Linked DNA regions of Schizosaccharomyces pombe. Changing the gene in region 1 together with any one later gene gives a genetic interaction. Each region holds a gene or a part of one and is shown on either strand. Other genes may lie near its edges.

Region 1 (4,816 bases):
TAAGCAACTCTTTAAATGTAATATTTAAAGGGAGTTTCTTCAGTTCGTTTTTTTGCAGCAAAACTTTTGATTGCGGTGATTCCAGTATTATTTACTAACCATCGCATGCCAGAGCGATATCTTTTTACAGCAACCATAACTCGGTTTCTTATTATCTTTAACGATAACCTAGATGGTCTTTGATTTTTCATTACACACTCTCATAATTAGCACGTTAAAGAAGCTTTGGAAAGCTGAGTGAGCATTGCAAAAAAATTTTAAATGGAAGTAGACAAATTGACTCTTTTCTGCAATGTTCGGAGGAAATAGTTCCTTTCTGTATAATCCTTATTTGAAAGTTTAGGATTTGCGGAACCCTTTTTTTTCTTTTCCACCCGGTCCGATAGTTGTAAAGGGGACAAATTTATTTTTGTCCGTTTACAAAAATAAAGAAGTAAAGCAGTGTAACTAAAGGGGAAAACATTGAGTTTTATGGTAAAAGATCCTATGTTCCATTAAACATCGAAAAAGGTTTGTTGGCTTTGAATTTGAATGAAGTTACATGCAGTTAAGTTAGCGAAACGATCGATTGGAAATTCCTAAACAATCGGTATGGTATGGGATGGGACTAAATAATTGGAGGAACTTGCTATAAGGTAATTAATAATATAAAGAAGCCGATAATATACAGTATGGTAATAGAAACAAAGCAATGAATCTTGCTCAGTCATTACTAGTTTGCTCTCTAGGGTTAAATTAGTTGGATCAGTAATTTTCAATCGAAACAAAAATATTTAAATAAATACGAATTATGCTTTACTTAGATTTATTATTGTTTTATTTTTATTTATTGCTCTTTTCATCTTTTTTAGAAGTTTTATTGTCTTTCATGTTTGGAATAGAATTTTTTCCCATTAAGCGGCAGTACTAAAAAAAAATTATTTCGATGTCTTTTAAAACCTGAATGATACTATTATATCTCTTTAAACTACTTTTATTTCTAGCACTTGCCATGTTGTTTTGTAATATTGGCTTTACCAGCCATTTGACTTTTTCTTTGTTTACACTAACATCACCGCACCAAAGCGTCAAGAATTTACTGCAGAATTTTACCAAAGAATGTAGAAACTAATTTTCTTTGGAAATTCGGGATTGCATCGATGCACAAGTCACTGACTTCTATAAATACAATTGTTTAGCAAGCTCCCTTTTTTTATTTTCAATAACAGGTAACACGTTTGGCAGGTAACAAGGAGACAATTAATCCATCACTCCAGAAACATATTAGCATTCCCCCCCGATTTAAACCTGGCCTTAACTTACCACCAATTTTTTTTTGCTTAAGGCAATTGGTTTTGTGTTTGTTAACATTCTAATTGTAAGACCTTGACGAAAAACTGGTTTTAAAGGATTTTTTACTGAGCTAATTTATTCGTTTATACGGGCTTTGTTCATTTCGCTTTTGGTAATCTCACTTTTTTTTGGTTTCCAGAGGCATTTTTAAATTTCAATACTTTTTCTTGAGTTTTTGATTTTTGCTTTCTTTTTAGTTTTGCGTTGACAAGTACTGAATTGTAATCTTTATCGTGGATTTAATTAGATTCAAGTGATTTTTAACACCTACATTGCCAAGTAGTATTAAAGTATTCATTTCATTGGTTTGGACTAGTTATATACTTCAAACTGGTGTTTACTTCCTTCTTTCGCTTCTTTTTCTTTCTAAACTTTGCTATATTTTGCCTTCGTTCGTTAGGTTACTATTTATTTACAAATTGAACCTTTTCATATAGGTTCTCTACAGGGATTTTCTTACCATTACTTATTGTAACAGATTTCTTAGTTGAGAGAATATTTTCACTTGGGGGGGTTTTTTTTCTTTTTAATTCACCACACGTATCTAGGTTTTCTACATTCTCTTGGATACAATCTCTTTTATTGCACAGAATCTTCTTTGATTTTCGTCTAATATTCCTACTGTCGGTTCTTTTACCCTTCCTGTTTCTACTTTTTAAAAGCTCTCATATATCACTCATCACCATCCTTTCTCTAATTTTATCTTTCGTTCACTGCTTAATTTTGCATTTCTAAGGAAATTCTCCGTTCCTTTATCATTTTATTTTATTTTGTCTCTTCTATATTATTAGTTTACTCTTGATTATTTGACAATGCGGTTCGCTCCTTATTTAATTAGTGCTGTTGTAATTACAACCATAATCCTGGGTGGAGCTTGGTGGACTTCAGCTATGGATACCAAGCTTCAAACGAAGATGAAGGAGATCATCGACCAACACACGAGTACTTGGACCCCAGTCGTTTCCTCCGTAACCAGTACCCAAACTGATACTTTACGTGTTACCATTAGTGAAGTTGTTAGTGTTACTGCCACTTTAACCGAAACTTTCACTGCTACTCCAACTGTCACTTCTGTAGTTCATGCTTTAGCTACCACTGATCCTCATCCGGATAACTCTAAAATCGTCATTTTGATGGGCTCTAACTTTCAAAATGATGCTAACTCTCCTCTCCATCCTTTCGCTCAGTCCATTATCAAAAATCGTCGTGAATATGCTGAACGCCATGGTTACAAATTCGAATTCTTAGATGCCGATGCCTATGCTTCTCGTGTTACAGGTCATTTAATGCCCTGGGTTAAGGTCCCTATGCTTCAAGATACGATGAAGAAATATCCTGACGCTGAATGGATTTGGTGGCTTGATCATGACGCGTTGGTCATGAACAAAGATCTTAACGTCGTCGACCATGTGCTTAAGCACGACCGATTGAATACCATTTTAACTAGGGAGGCTGAATATAAGAGTGGTGCAGGTATCCCCGCCGATGGATTTAGAACTCCAAAGGATCAGGATGCTAAGGATGTTCATTTCATCATCTCTCAAGATTTTAATGGTATTAACGCTGGCAGTCTTTTTATTCGTAATAGCGAAGTTGGCCGCTGGATTGTTGATTTGTGGTTTGAACCCTTATATTTGGATCATATTCAGGGATATGCTGAGCAACAAGCGTTTTCTCACATGGTATTTTACCATCCCCAGGTGTATAAACATGTAGGTGTTGTCCCACTTAAGGCTATAAACGCATATGATTTTGATGATAATATTTGGGGCTATGACGACGGGGACTTGTGTATCCATTTTGCTGGATGTAACTATTTTAAGAATTGTCCCGAGAAGTTCCTTAAGTATGCTCAAATTTTATCTTCTAAACAAGGATCCGATTGGATGTCTGCTCAAGAAAAGGATCATATTCAAAATCTTTTGAAACCATCATCCTAGTTTTTTTCAGTCACGCATGGAAAAATACCTTGTACTTTAGACTGGTTTAATTTCATGATATTTGTCATTTTACTCAAGAACAACGTCTGTCCAGTATGTTGGTAGTTTTCTCAATTTTTTATTATCGGGGATAAGCAAACTCCTTCTTTCATTACTAATCAAGTCATTTAATTATCCTCCCCTCCTTAGTGAACACCTTAATAGTTTCTCCCTTTTCATGATTTCATGAGCTTAGTATCATTACGTTCAGGACCTTCTAATTTCGTGTTGGAGGATTTTAGTGTTGTCTAATCTATTTCCTTTTCTAAAGTCAAGTTTTGTATCGTACTTTAAGTACAAAGTTCGAGTTTTGCTGTTACGCTTCAAACCGTTTTATTTAATTTTTAAACCCCAGCCTTTCTTGGAGTAAAATGTTAGTAGATGACAAACTTGTTAGGGGTTTGAATGAATTTTCATACGCAGAATGCTGCTTTCTTTAAAATCGGGATGATTTGAAATGTTATTTGAAATGTTGAGTTTTTTGTAGCCTACATTACGATTGTACGGCTTATAGGACAGTGAAGCTATTAAATACTTGATCTAATATGACCGATTACAAGAAAGTCCTTGATAATTTTTCTGCACTTCTTTTGAAGTTGGCAACTTTATGTACAGTATGATGCTCTATCTTTCTAAATAAAGTTATGTCAGGAGTCTTATGGAAATAAAATTTGCAATTCGTCGTAATGAAATCCATTTGAGTGATAATGGCTTTTGAAATTAAAGCATATATTTTTTTTATGCAAAAACAATGAATGAAATATTTGTAAACTGACCAAATCTATAAACCACTGCTTGAAAATTAAACGATTCGAATTTTACTCCTTTGTTCATTGTATCCAAGAACGGCACAACCCCTATATTTGGGTACTATCATTTTTTTACTTTCAAATGGGACGCAATTAAGACCGATTGATTGAATTCTATTAAATTATTATTATATATTAATTTTAAAAATAGTTAGCTTCGTTGTTCTAATTTAAATTATCATTGTTTGATTACAAAAAGTGAAGTGTGTTATTTAAGAAATCAATGTTCCCTCATCGAGTCTCTCATTTATCGAAACTATTTTCGAGAAGGTTTCCCAATTGGAAAAGAAAAGTCCAAACAGATTCTTGGTCCAATGTCCCAGAGCATATTCACTCAAAAATTGGTCGAAACCTTTTTCAAAAAGAAGGTCATCCCATATGCAGTCTACGACAACTTCTCGAACAGCAATTTCAAAAATTCGAAATGAATAATGTTCAAAAAGAATCACCTATTGTTTCTGTAGAGACGAATTTTGATTCTTTAGGATTTCCCAAGACACATGTAAGTAGAAGCAAATCCGATACTTACTATATGAACAATAAAACTTGTCTTCGAACCCATACCTCGGCTCATCAACCTGAAGAGTTCTCTCGCTTGGCCAAAGAAGGATTTAAGAAAAATGGTTTCTTAATAACCGCAGATGTATACCGTCGCGATGAAGTGGATTCTAGTCATTATCCAATTTTTCATCAAAT
Region 2 (4,747 bases), on another chromosome or scaffold:
TTGATTTGGTGTCGAAGGTTAACCAGTTGTATGATCAGCAAATTGCACCCATGCTCTCCGATGCTATTGGCACTCCATCCGTTAATCACTCGTTTGAGTTGGCGCCGTTAGACTCTCATTTGGTGGCCACAAGCACTACATTCCACGAGGCGTCATACGAGTCAGAGCCTCAGCAAAATCCTGCCAGTCAAAATATTGTCTTATTACTAGTTAGTGATGGACACACTTCTTACAATAATGGAGCTAATACGTTTGAAGAAGCTATACAGAACAGAGTTGACTATAGTACCAAACAAAACTACAACTTTGAGTATGTCAATGTTACTGGCCTCCCTATTCCCGCCGTTTGGTCCAAGATGCCCGCCGTCTTACAAACTATGAAGAAATACCCCAAAGCGGAATGGATCTGGTTGTTGGATCAGGATGCAATTATTACTAATACCCATCTTTCCCTTCAAGACTCCTTTTTGAAACCTGAGAACTTGCAAAAGACCTTAATTACTAATACCATCCTCACTAAACGGCCTATAAATGCTAACGGGGATTTGCGTTATACACCAAGTAATTATAGTTTAAAAGATATCGAAAATCTCATGGTCATAATCTCACAGGATCACAATGGATTAAACGCAGGTAGTATCTTGTTCCGTAATTCACCTGCTACTGCCTTGTTTTTGGATATTTGGACAGATCCTGTTGTTGCAGAATGTGCGAAAGCCAATAATGAACAAGACATGCTTGGATATTTGATTTCTAAGCATTCACAACTTGCTTCGCTGGTTGGCCTTATTCCTCAAAGAAAAATAAATGCTTTTCACGAAGGTCCGGAAAATATGGAATGGCAAAAAGGTGATTTGGTAATTCACTTTGCTGGATGTTGGGTTGAAAACCGCTGCGATGAACTATGGCAAAAGTTTTACGCCTTGATTGACTAAGTTGCTTATTCATTATATCCGTCTGTTTAATTTGTTTGTGTTTTAAAAAATTTTATATATATAAACAAAGCGCCGTATAATTTTCCGTCAATCTTCCTTTCTTTATCTGAATCTCTAATAATGTTTACTATTTTTTAATCTTTACATACCTAATTAATATAGCGGTTGTGCCATAGCAATCAAAGTTTCAGGTTAGTTTTTTATAGCGAGATATCTGGGAGTTTTGTTTTACACAATCGTCCATCAATAATTGTTATATATTGTATATATTTCACATTGACTTTGAAGCTGTTTCTGTTGGTTCAACTAATTTGCTTTGGCAATTTACCAATGCAATATTGAAGATTGGAATAACAGTTTGGCGTTAATAAATCTTTTTAATAATTTGCATTTCACCGCAGCTGCCATTTTCTGTTAAATGCTGATAGAAGTTTTATTGAATCATTCGTGTCGGATTATACTAAGTTTTTATTTATCTTGTTTTTTGGCCCTACAAAGTATTGGTATGTCCTTATTTTATATTGATTACACTGGCTTTTGGCCTTATAAAGATATAGATTAGTTGCTAAGTCTAAAAGATGTATTTTTTAACGGTGGTTCCATTACGTCTGTGCACCCACTGTTTACACTTGTGTCTTTACAAACCTAGAAGCATTTTCCGATTAATGAGGTCTATCAGGTCAAGGAGAAAGAATATTTGAATAGATTTATCGACAAAATATATTTCGTTAAATTTACACAATATTTACTTTACCAATAAGCTAAATGGTATTTCCAATACTTTTCCAGCTAACAGTCAGATTTTTCACTGTTTGAAACAACTTCACCAAATTAATTCATTAGTGTCAATTTCTATTACATGCTTAAGCTCATAATTTTCAACATCCAGATAGCTCGAAAGTTGACACCATTACACACAAACTAAGATGATTGTGAAAAAACAAAGCGTTAGGATTTGTAAAAGGCAATTCCACAATTTGAATTACAATACTGTAACTGAATATAGCGCGGCACATGGTACAAACAACGTGCTGGTAATAAATTGACAAATGCAGAGCAACCCGCGTGATGAAACATAAATCTCGGATATTTTTTCTTTAAAGGGTTGTTAACGCAAGTCGTTTAAGGGTAAAAGAAATAAATAAATTTTAGAGGGTAACATCCTCATAAAGGGAGTCATCTTTAGAGCCTTTTTTCATTTTTTTAAGGCTTTCGAAAATTTCACGTGTCTCAAATTCTATTGTTTCAGCGGTTCGTTGAATTAATCTCTTATCATGTCTCGAATTTCACTTTCAAATTTTTTATCTCTTCCGCGTTACAAATTCCTGTTGTTTTCTGTGGTTTTGATTATTGTGATGACAACCTTAGTGTTTAACGGACACGATTATAAGCAAACCCTTAATGACCGGCTTACTTCATTAAAAAACAACTTTGTTGAGGAAAATGATAATGCCGTCTTAAAAGAAGAGCCTGGCAAATATACGTATATGAGTTTGTTTACTATGCCTTCTACTGAAGAGGATTACTACTTCAACGCTACTAGGGTTTTAATTCACCGATTGAAATATCATCCTACTACCAAAAGTAAATACCCTATCCATATCCTTGCACTCCGTGGAGTAGATGAGTGGAAAATTGAACGTTTTCGAAAGGATGGTGCTTCTGTGATTGTTATAGACCCCATTGCTTCATCGGATATTGTATACGATACATCCTCATTTAGTCAAGAAATATCTGCTAGATATGAACAAATGTTTTCGAAGTTGCGAATTTTCGAACAAATACAATTTGACAAAATTTGCGTAATTGACAGTGATATATTGATCATGAAGAACATTGATGATATATTTGATACTCCTTATATGTACCAACAAATTAATACCTTGAACTATACACGGCTACCTTCCTACACGAAGCCTGATGATGATACCGTCTATCACTTCAATGAGGATTTTAAAGAATATGGTGCCAGTCGAAGCGAATTTTACCCTTATCTTCTCGCAGCCGTCTCTGATAGAGGAGAGCATCATAGTATACCTCCAGAAGATACTCCTTATTTCAATGCTGGCTTAATGCTTATACGTCCAAGCGAGCTTCATTTTAACCGTATACTTAAAATCGGAAGGTTTCCTTATATGTATGAGAATGCCAAAATGATGGAGCAAAGCTTGTTGAATCTTGCATTTTCCTTGGACGGATGGTTTCCCTGGACTCGTCTTGATCCTTATTACAATGGCGTGTGGCCCTCAATTGACGAACGTCCTCTCTTAAAAACAGCACACGGAAAATTCTGGAATATTGGTAGCTCAGAATTTGCACCAGTATATTTAGCTGACTGGTATGCTGCTTATGGCGAAATGCTGTCTTTTCATAAGTATGAAACTCATTAAAGGAGGAATACCTTTCTTTTTTCTGTATTGTGACCTTATTTTACAATTAGAAGTTAAAATCTAATTGTATGTTATATATTTGAAAATTTCTTTAACTTATTACCATAATTTTATTTTAGACTTGCTATCCTTATTGTCTAAACGCACATTGTTTAGATCTCTTCAGCTTTCTTTGATTGCTGGCTATGTATACAACTTTATTACCTGCGTCTGTCTATAAATCCCGTTAGCGGTGATTTGCTTTCGGTCAGCCTATTTTTAGAATATAATTTTGGACTTGCGGTTGATTTTAATATACCTCTCATCTCTCCTTCATTATGGACTCATTAGACCTTATGAACAAACCCCAATTTTAATTATTATCACAAGCGTTTAGCAATTTTTGATGCTTAAACTAGCCTGAGGTCCAAACAGGATAGTTTAATTAGTGTTAGACATTAATATTTTTTAGAAAAAGATACTTTATGTCTAGAGGGTTGTTTTTGAAGCATTTTATAGAATTTATTCTTTTTTAAGAAAATTAATTAGATTTGTAAAAATGTGCAGCTTCATAATTATTTATGGAGCGAATCATTTATGTTTAAATAAGACGGCATTAATATAACGAAGTAAAAGATAAATAGTAATAATAAATTAACTGTAAATGCAATTGAAAATGTTAGAGGCTATAACGCGCCGACACTTGGGCATTGATTTAGCCTTTTAAATTATTTTATCTTTGTATTTAGTCCATAACTCGGCGCATTTGTTTTCAACCCAACATCCAGCGAAATGAAGAGCTAGATCTCCTTCTTGCCATTGCATTGTAGGGGGTCCTTCATGAAAAGCATTGATAAATCTTTGAGGAAGAATGCCAACCATGGAAGCTACCTGCGAGTGTTTTTGAATGAAATAGCCGATCAAATCTTGTTCATGACGCACGACTCCTGCATCTGCCAAAGAAGGATCAGTCAATAAATCCATTAGTAAAGCGATGGATCTTGAATTTCGTACTAAAAAGCTTCCTGCATTCAATCCGTTATGATCCTGAGAAATTAGAAATTGTATTTGTTCTATCATTTCCTTGGAGTAAGCCGCTGGAGTGATTCTGAAATTATCTTCTCCGAAAGAGTTTATAATTGGTTGCTCCCTAAGCAATGATTTTTGGAGCATTGCAGGTGAGAGAAATAATTCCTGTAAGGACAGATTTTTGTTCATTATAAGAGCATCCTGATCTAGCCACCAGATCCATTTTGCGGATGGATACTTGCGCATTGTTTGTAGAATTGCGGGCATCTTTCCCCATACAGGTGGCACTACCAGACTGGAAACGTTAACGAATTCAAAATTGTAGTTTTGAAGTTTCGCATACTCTATACGATTTTTAAAGCAATCATCTAGTAAGTTAGATTCAAAACTTCCAACGTTTCCATCGCTAGCAAG

The links.
Region 2: mutations in gma12 (region 1) and otg1 impair growth when combined (synthetic growth defect), as found in Schizosaccharomyces pombe (one study listed by BioGRID).

The regions. Positions count from the first base shown.
Region 1 is NC_003421.2:315,181-319,996, reverse strand, and holds gma12 (Golgi alpha-1,2-galactosyltransferase Gma12), read left to right. Parts: upstream 1-2,144; coding exon 2,145-3,272; 3' UTR 3,273-4,170; downstream 4,171-4,816. Other genes in the region: msf1 (phenylalanyl-tRNA synthetase), read left to right, coding at 4,344-4,816. UniProt on the Schizosaccharomyces pombe protein: Involved in the O- and N-linked oligosaccharide modification of proteins transported through the Golgi stack. This occurs in cis Golgi where the enzyme transfers galactose from UDP-galactose to a variety of mannose based acceptors.
Region 2 is NC_003424.3:164,998-169,744, reverse strand, and holds otg1 (alpha-1,3-galactosyltransferase Otg1), read left to right. Parts: upstream 1-2,005; 5' UTR 2,006-2,209; coding exon 2,210-3,325; 3' UTR 3,326-3,931; downstream 3,932-4,747. Other genes in the region: alpha-1,2-galactosyltransferase Gmh2, read left to right, coding at 1-935; alpha-1,2-galactosyltransferase Gmh1, read right to left, coding at 4,028-4,747.